2 linked regions of the Diceros bicornis minor genome follow. The protein of the gene in region 1 purifies or fractionates together with the protein of each later gene. This does not show direct contact. Links are inferred from orthologs where the notes say so. Each region holds a gene or a part of one and is shown on either strand. Other genes may lie near its edges.

Region 1 (3,746 bases):
CAAGTTTGCAATAAGGAAGAGCTTGCTTGGCTGTTATATCTAAGAGGTTTTATTGACCACAAGTATTGTGTAGTTCTTGGGATCTGACTGCTAAAAAAAAAAGCGAGGGAAACGAGCTACATCAATAATAATAGCTGTTATTTATTGAACATTTAGTATGTGTCAGGTATTGTGCTAAGCACTTTATTTATAATATGTCACATGCCTTAGCCAACACTGTGGTATCATTGTCACCACTTTACAGATGAGGAAGTGGAGGGTCAGAAAGGTCATGTCCTCAGTCTTCAGTCACTCAGCTGGTGAGTGGCAGAGGCAGGATTTGAAGGAACCCAAGGCTGCAATGCAGAGCCCTGCTCTTAGTCTCTGAGCTCACGTGAGTGCTGAGCCAGGAAGGAGTTGATACCCCCGTCGCTGCCCAGGGCCGTCTGACTACGATGGCCAGACAGCTGAAATAGAGTGTCTTAGGCACTAACCAAGAGAGAGGGGAGACAGCAGAGTTAGGACAGGGAGGGGTTTGAGAGCTTTGTTTTCAGCATCAAAGGAGGAATATTCTGTGCAGAGGGTAACGGTCTGTCAAGAACATTTCCTGTGTGACTACCACCCTCTGCCTGCCAATGACGCTGCTGCTTGCCCTACCCCCGGCTCAAAAACTCAGGCCCTGCAGGCTCCTGGCAGTGCTGGGAAGTGCCTGTCTTGCCCACCCTTCCTCTCTATGCTCCGTGCCCCCCCCCCCCCCCCCCCCCGCTCGCCTGGCGGACATCTCCTCACACTGTTGCTGACAGCACTTCTCCTCCCCTTCTGGCTGGCCTCTCTGCCCTGAGTTTTCTCACTTGCATCCATGCCAGTCTACCACCAATAGAGAAATTATCCTGAAGCACCTCTTCAGTGTTGCCCTTGGCTCAGAAACCTACACTAGCTCTCTATCCCTCCCTCCAAGTGAGCTTCCTCTCCTTGACTTTTACTGCTTCCTCTGGCCCCATCATGCTCCCACACCGTTATCTTCTGCCTGCTGCATCACTGTCCCGAGCGTGTCTCTGTCTCTCTATGCCGAGAATGCCCCAGTTCCACCTCATCCATCAAGGGCTCACACCCTGTCCATCACAGTTCTCAGGAATCCCCCTCTCTGTGGTAGCTCCAGCTCTCACTATGTGTATCTCACAGTTAACTCTTCACTTTCTCTGATTGTCCCATATATGTCTCTTTCCCCCAACCTATACTGACTTCTTAAGAACAGGCACAATTCACTCAGAAAATATTGTCCACACATCCACTGTGTGCCGGGCACTATGCTGAGTTCACTGTGGCAGGAGGCAGCATGGCCTTTCCCTCTGGTCGCTTACTTCCTTCCACACCCATAATTCTGTATTTCTCACTGTGCCAGCAGAGACCTGTGCGTATAGTGTCCGTTTTCCGCTGGTTGAGTGGGGCCGAGGAGGGCCAGGAACTTGAGCCTGAGGCCTCTGTGTTCCCTGGATCAAATGTGTTTTTAGGCCTGGGCCCATCTTGGCTCCAGACAGGCCTGGCTTTGCAGTGAGGGAAGAGGCTGCAGACTGCAGCAGGAGGCACAGCTAGCTCTCCTGGAGAATGTGACCCAATGTCACCCCATGTTGGAGAATAAGATAACAACAGCTGTAGCATTTAGAGTAGAAAACAATAACATCCAGTGCCCCATCAGTCTTTAGTGGTGATTCTCATTTTCGAATCTTTGTCCATTCTCGGTTTTTGCCTTGGAATATTTGAATGTGGGGGTGCCTTGGACTGTGTGAATGCGAGAAGCTCCAAATAATGGAGCCTTGTTGAATAATATAGTAGTAACAATAGCAGTGATGATGGTTGACTCAGAAAAGGTAGAGATGAGCGCAGCTTCCCTGCTCTCTTCATTAATCTTCCTTGTTCCCCAGTTACTGCTTCCCCTGGCCTGTGAGTTCACCCCTCTGTCATGGTTCGCCTGCCCCCTCTCAAAGCAGGTTGCTTTTCTAGCTCATGGGTAAATATTGACCTACTTGGGTTTCAGATGCCTGCCCCTCGAAACTCCTGCTAGGCTAGATAAACACAAGGGGATAACATCTCTTGAGAATCAGAGCTGCTTTTGGAAAGGCTATAATGCAGTTGAGCCACTCACTGAATCTGTGCAACGGTCACCACTGAGCTGGGCCCCCGGAATGGCGGCAGACAAAGGCAGGGCATTGGCCCCTGCCTTCCCTCTGGGAGCTTGTGGTCCAGTTGGGGAGGTAGGGCTTATATACTGGGAATACTTGGAGGTTGTGCACAAGGCAGCTGCAAGGATCCTGAATGAGGATTGTTGCCTGAGTAGGTGGCCCTCTGTGACCACAAGATCCCTTCCCTTTCTCTGGTTTTAACTGGAATTCAGTCAAGTGCCAAAATACCTGCTGATGACAATAGGCAGTATAGTCTGGCAGGAAAGGGAGGTTGGCCGATGCTCTGTGGGGAGGAGATGAGAACTGGGATGGGCTGTGGGGGACAAGGCTGGGAGGAGGCAGTTACTGTGGTTTGTTAATCCACTGGTATTCATCTCCCTGACATGTCCCTGGACCTGCTTCTGGACCTCCAGCTCTCACTAGGGCCTCCTGCCCTGGGTCTCTTTCAGTTGCATGCGTCTAAAGGCCAGTTCCTTTATTGCTTGTGACCCATGCTTTCTTCCTCTCTCCTGTCCTCTCAACCTCCCCCCGCTTGGACTCTGCACCTCCCTTCCCCGTCCTCTGAAATGAGCTGGGTTCTTTTGTTAGGTGAGGCTGCTGCCTAGGCTGGGAGATCCAGGAGTTGGTCTTGTTTCAGTGAGTTGGACCCCAGTGAAGATCCTGGCTAGCTGAAAGGCTGGAGGCCAGAGGCCAGGAAGGCTGAGGTTCCCAGGCAGATAGAGAATCAACTTCGAGCATTGATGTGGATGTAGAGTTAGGCCATGAGGCAGAACTGGCCTGACCAGTCAGAAGCCCAAAGAGGGAAATCTGCTCTCAGTTTGTGTTTTTGTGTGTCTGTGGGGTTAGGCAGAGGCTATGATGTATGGTGGTCCAAAATTACCTTTCTAGCTCTGTGGAGTGGAGCTCCTCCTTGTCTGGCTTCTAGCCAAGTAGCTTGGTTCCCTGTTCTTTGCTTTCCCTGTTTCTTAGGCCAGTGGGAAGCCATAGGGCAGGTGCACATTGGGTACAGGCCATCCTAGAGCAGGCGGGCAAAGTGTCTGCTTTGTGGGAGGGTGGGGTCCTGGGAATGTCCCATCCTGAGGCACCTTAGAGTAAGCTGAGATGCTTGAAGCCAAGGCTGACCTAGGACCTGCCTTGATGGGCAAGGAGAGGAAGCCTATGAGACCAAGGTGAGCCACACACAGCCAGGAGGCTGGCCTTTCACTCTGCACGTGTGAAAGATGTTGTTTCCCCAACTCATACACTGCACACACACACACACACACACACACACACACACAGTGGAGGCAAAGAGGCCTCTAGGTCTCAGGATGAGGGACAGATGGGGGCCTCATGCAGCCCTGACCTTGGGCTTGATGACCAGGCAGGGAAAGAGTTGGAGCAGTGCCAGCGGCAGGCAGACGAGGTGGCGGAAATCATGCTCAACAACTACAACAAGGTCCTGGAGCGCCATGGGAATCTGGAGGAGCTGGACCAGCGTGCACACCAACTCCTGGGCAAGGTGTGAGGCCTGGGGAAGCAGGGGAGGGGGAGGGAGAGGCTGTGAGGAGCCCGCAGAGGGAGCTCTCAGGCTGTGCTCAGGGTCTC
Region 2 (3,746 bases), on another chromosome or scaffold:
GCCCTGAGCTAACATTCAATGCCAATCGTCCTCTTTTTGCTGAGGAAGACTGGCCCTGGGCTAACATCCGTGCCCATCTTCCTCTGCTTTATATGGGACGCCGCCACAGCATGGCTTAACAAGCGGTGCGTGGGTGCGTGCCCGGGATCCCAGCTGGCGAACCCCGGGCCGCAGCAGAGCGTGCGCACCCAACCGCTTGGGCCACCAGGCCGGCCCCTATTAATGTTATTAATGGTTGACTCCAATGATCCCTTGAGCCCAGTCGACAACTACATCTTATCAATTCTATCATCAAAGAGATCCCTCCTATCCTCTCCTTCCTTTTAATTTTCACAGTTCCTAACTGCTGTCTCTAATTCCAGTCTCTCCCTTCCAATTCAATTTACACATTCTTAAAAGAATTAAATCCAAATCCCCTTAGTTTAGCACATAAAGCCCTTCATGTTTGGGCCCGAACTTACCTTTCCAACCCCATTTTCCCCTACTTTCTAGAGTCTACCACTCCAGCCAAATTAAATCACTCTACTTTTCTATATAAACCACATGCCTTTCCACTAGCATGCCTTGTTCATTTTATTCCCTCCTGGAATGCTCTCCCATTCATTACCGTCACAAGTTCAAATCCTTTCCACCATCTTTTCAGACCTAGCTCAAATGCCATAATGCCTTCCCCGATCCCTCCCAACTCAAAATAGTCTCTCTCTCCTCTGAATACCTACATAATGTTATTTAAACTTCATCTATAGCACTGATCCCTTTCAACTTTATATTTCGGTTGAAATATGAATATATGAAAGAATCCATGCCAGTTCCTATACTTACTACATAGCCTGATACTCAAATATATGTAGAATGATTTCACAAATAGACATTAAAATTAGATTTAGCCTCAACAAGAAACTTTTAGCCTTGAACCAGAATTTTCTGATCTAACTTGTATTACAGCTCCCTCACAAAAGGAAATTGGAACACAAAGTACTATACTTTCTAACCAGTGGTCACATTAATTTCTTTTTTAATTTCTGGACTTGACATGCTACATATTCTTCTTTCCACTTCCAAATCACTCAGTCTCAAACCCTTCCCATCAGAAACTTCTCACCTCTCAAATTCTGCACTATGTATTTAAATTTAAAAGCAAAGTGATAGATTGTTCTTTAAAATATAAAACATAACTGTAATTCAGGACCAACTAGTTCTATCTATTAACAGAGTCCAGCCACACTCACAAAAGCACAATAATAAACAACAAGGATGATGATCATCATTCTTTCCAAGTAAAGTTGTTGCTGCTGACCTCCTGTTTATAAGGCTCTGAGCTGATTTTTCAGGCACGAGAAACAGCCTCTATCTGACTCATTCAGCTGCAGTCTCACTCAGACCCCAATGGTGGGGATCCAGTTTTAAGACAAGCAAGGACATTCTGAAATCTACCACCAACTCTACCATGTCTTACTTGCTATGTGATTGTGGCCAAGATCCTGAGCTTCTCTATGTATCAGATTTGCTCAGAAGAGTAGCTCAATAGAGATGGAAAACAAAGCCTCATTGGCTTGAAATCCAAAAATATACGCAAATCTTTTGCTACAAAAGACAATGTAAATTGAAATGTTTTCGGTGAATTCTCTTTATTTAAAACAGAAGTCGTTATCTGATTTCCAATTTCACTACGTGAAGAACTGTGTATTAAGTCACCATAACACAAGCACTCTCCACTTCCTTTAATTGAAAGCTGCTGATCTCCAAGAAGCCAGAAGCTCAGCAGAATGTAAACCTAAAGTCTAAATCAGTAAACAACTCCCGATCCAAGCTAGCCAAAGAGGAAGGAGAGATGGGCGGGGGGAAGGCGGATGACAGGAAAAACTCGGCTGACCACTGCGCCAAGTCAAGTCACTCACTGCTCTCGAGGTGACACACACACCCCTTCCCACCCTGGGGCTGTCAGGTCTGCAGTTTTGGCCCTAACATCACGAGGGCAGAACCTGGGAAATAGCTCGAGCTTCCGCTGGGGCTCGGGACCCTCGGGGAGCCCGGGCCTGACAGATGCGGGGATGACAGGCGCCGCCTCCAGAATGGAGAGCCCGAGATGGCGTCAGGTGCGGCCTTGGCCGTAGCCCCGGCCGAGCTCCGCGTCCCGGCAGCCACACCCAGGCCTGACCCCCGGACGGCGCCCGCCCCTCAGCCCAGTCCCCCGGCTCACTGGCTTGGCTGATCCGCTGGATGTTGCCGCTGCACGTCTGGATGATGCTGTTGAAGTCCCGGAGTTGGGGCCCCAAGGGCCCCGGGTTCCGGTACATGTCTAAGGGACCGTAGGACATGACGAGGAGCTGAGACCGACTGGTCCTGCACCGGGCTCCTACCGGAAGCAGCTGCCAGACGGGACCCGCAGACTGACGGGGAAACCAGGAAGGAAAAGGTCTGGGAAGAGGCTGAGGCTGCGTGCGCACTAGTCCCGCCCCCACGCGGCGCGCACGCGTCCGCCCCGCCCCGCCCCGCCCCTCAGTTGCGCGGGCGCCGCTGGAAGTGGTGCGGGGCACAGTAGCTTAGAGACTGGACGCCCCGGAGCTTGGGCTTGAGGGGCGGGGCGATGATGTCAGATAGTTGGGGCTCCGATTGGATGAGCTGCGGTGGCGGTGGTGTTTCTCGCCTGGGCGCGGTGACAGGAGGCAAGAATTTTCGATTAGCATAAAATTGGACCAGATGATCTCAGCCCTAACATGCTATTCTGTTCTTTTCTGAGAATTCACGCCCAAATATGGGAGAATTCGACAACCTTGAAACTCAGATCCGTAACCAAACTCCTGAAATTCCTCACTCTATTTCTATCCTCTAGGGCTTTGATAGTATTTGCGGAGACTTTTCTGGTTTACAAACCACTTTCATTTTTCCCTGCACCCCTCTTCTAAACAATAAAATGATAATAATAATAATAATAAAATTTGAGCACGTACTGTGTGTGAATCCTCGCTGCAATTCACTTGTTTACAAGCTCTTTCACAGCAAGGGACGATGTTCTAACTATATTTTTACCTTCAGAATAAACAATGGACAATCGATTTTTAAAATGTTGAACTACCTCGACAAAGTAACGGTTATTTTCCCTTTAACACAGAGGTTAATTTGCTTTTCTGAGATCTGACTACAAAACCCACACACTAAGCTAAATCCATGGTCATCGCATTACTTCCCTAAAACACATTCTCATATTCCCAAATTCATTCTCCATCAAAACCTCTCCCAAATAGCCTCTTCATCTATATCCCAAACCAGGATTTTTGGAGAACTAGACTCTCAAATTTTAAAAATCATTCCCTTAAGTAATTTGGACTGTATAACCTCATGTTCTTATAGAAGACTGCATTTTGTGAGCTGATGGTAAATGGAAAGACGTGGGTAGGATTTTGGTTTGGGAGGAAATCAAGACAGGGAGAAGTGAAGGGGAACTGGCCATGTTGGTTTCCTGTGTTCTCCACTCCACCCCAGCCCAGCTTGCTTTGCAATCTCTGGGGAATGGCAAAGAGAGGAAGCCAAATGGGTGAATGAGCCTACATTCAGGCTTAGAGTTTTTGTAAGCAAGCCTATCTCTATTTTTTGTTGGAACATTTACAAGAGTACTTCTTTTTTTTTTTTTTGGTGAGGAAGATTAGCCCTGAGCTAACATCTGTTGCCAATCCTCCTCTTTTTGCTGAGGAAGATTGGCCCTGGGCTAACATCCGTGCCCATCGTCCTCTACTTTATATGGGACA

The links. Proteins that work in one complex are often made in the same cells at the same time.
Region 2: the proteins of VAMP5 (region 1) and STX12 purify together in Homo sapiens (affinity purification with mass spectrometry; 3 studies listed by BioGRID and IntAct, with this or other methods). This does not show direct contact. The link is inferred for Diceros bicornis minor from reciprocal best matches to the Homo sapiens genes VAMP5 and STX12.

The regions. Positions count from the first base shown.
Region 1 is NC_080751.1:4,407,090-4,410,835, reverse strand, and holds the start of VAMP5 (vesicle-associated membrane protein 5), read left to right. Parts: upstream 1-736; 5' UTR 737-3,480; coding exon 3,481-3,660; intron 3,661-3,746. UniProt on the Homo sapiens protein: May participate in trafficking events that are associated with myogenesis, such as myoblast fusion and/or GLUT4 trafficking.
Region 2 is NC_080752.1:43,290,682-43,294,427, reverse strand, and holds the start of STX12 (syntaxin-12), read right to left. Parts: upstream 2,408-3,746; 5' UTR 2,319-2,407; coding exon 2,201-2,318; intron 1-2,200. UniProt on the Homo sapiens protein: SNARE promoting fusion of transport vesicles with target membranes. Together with SNARE STX6, promotes movement of vesicles from endosomes to the cell membrane, and may therefore function in the endocytic recycling pathway.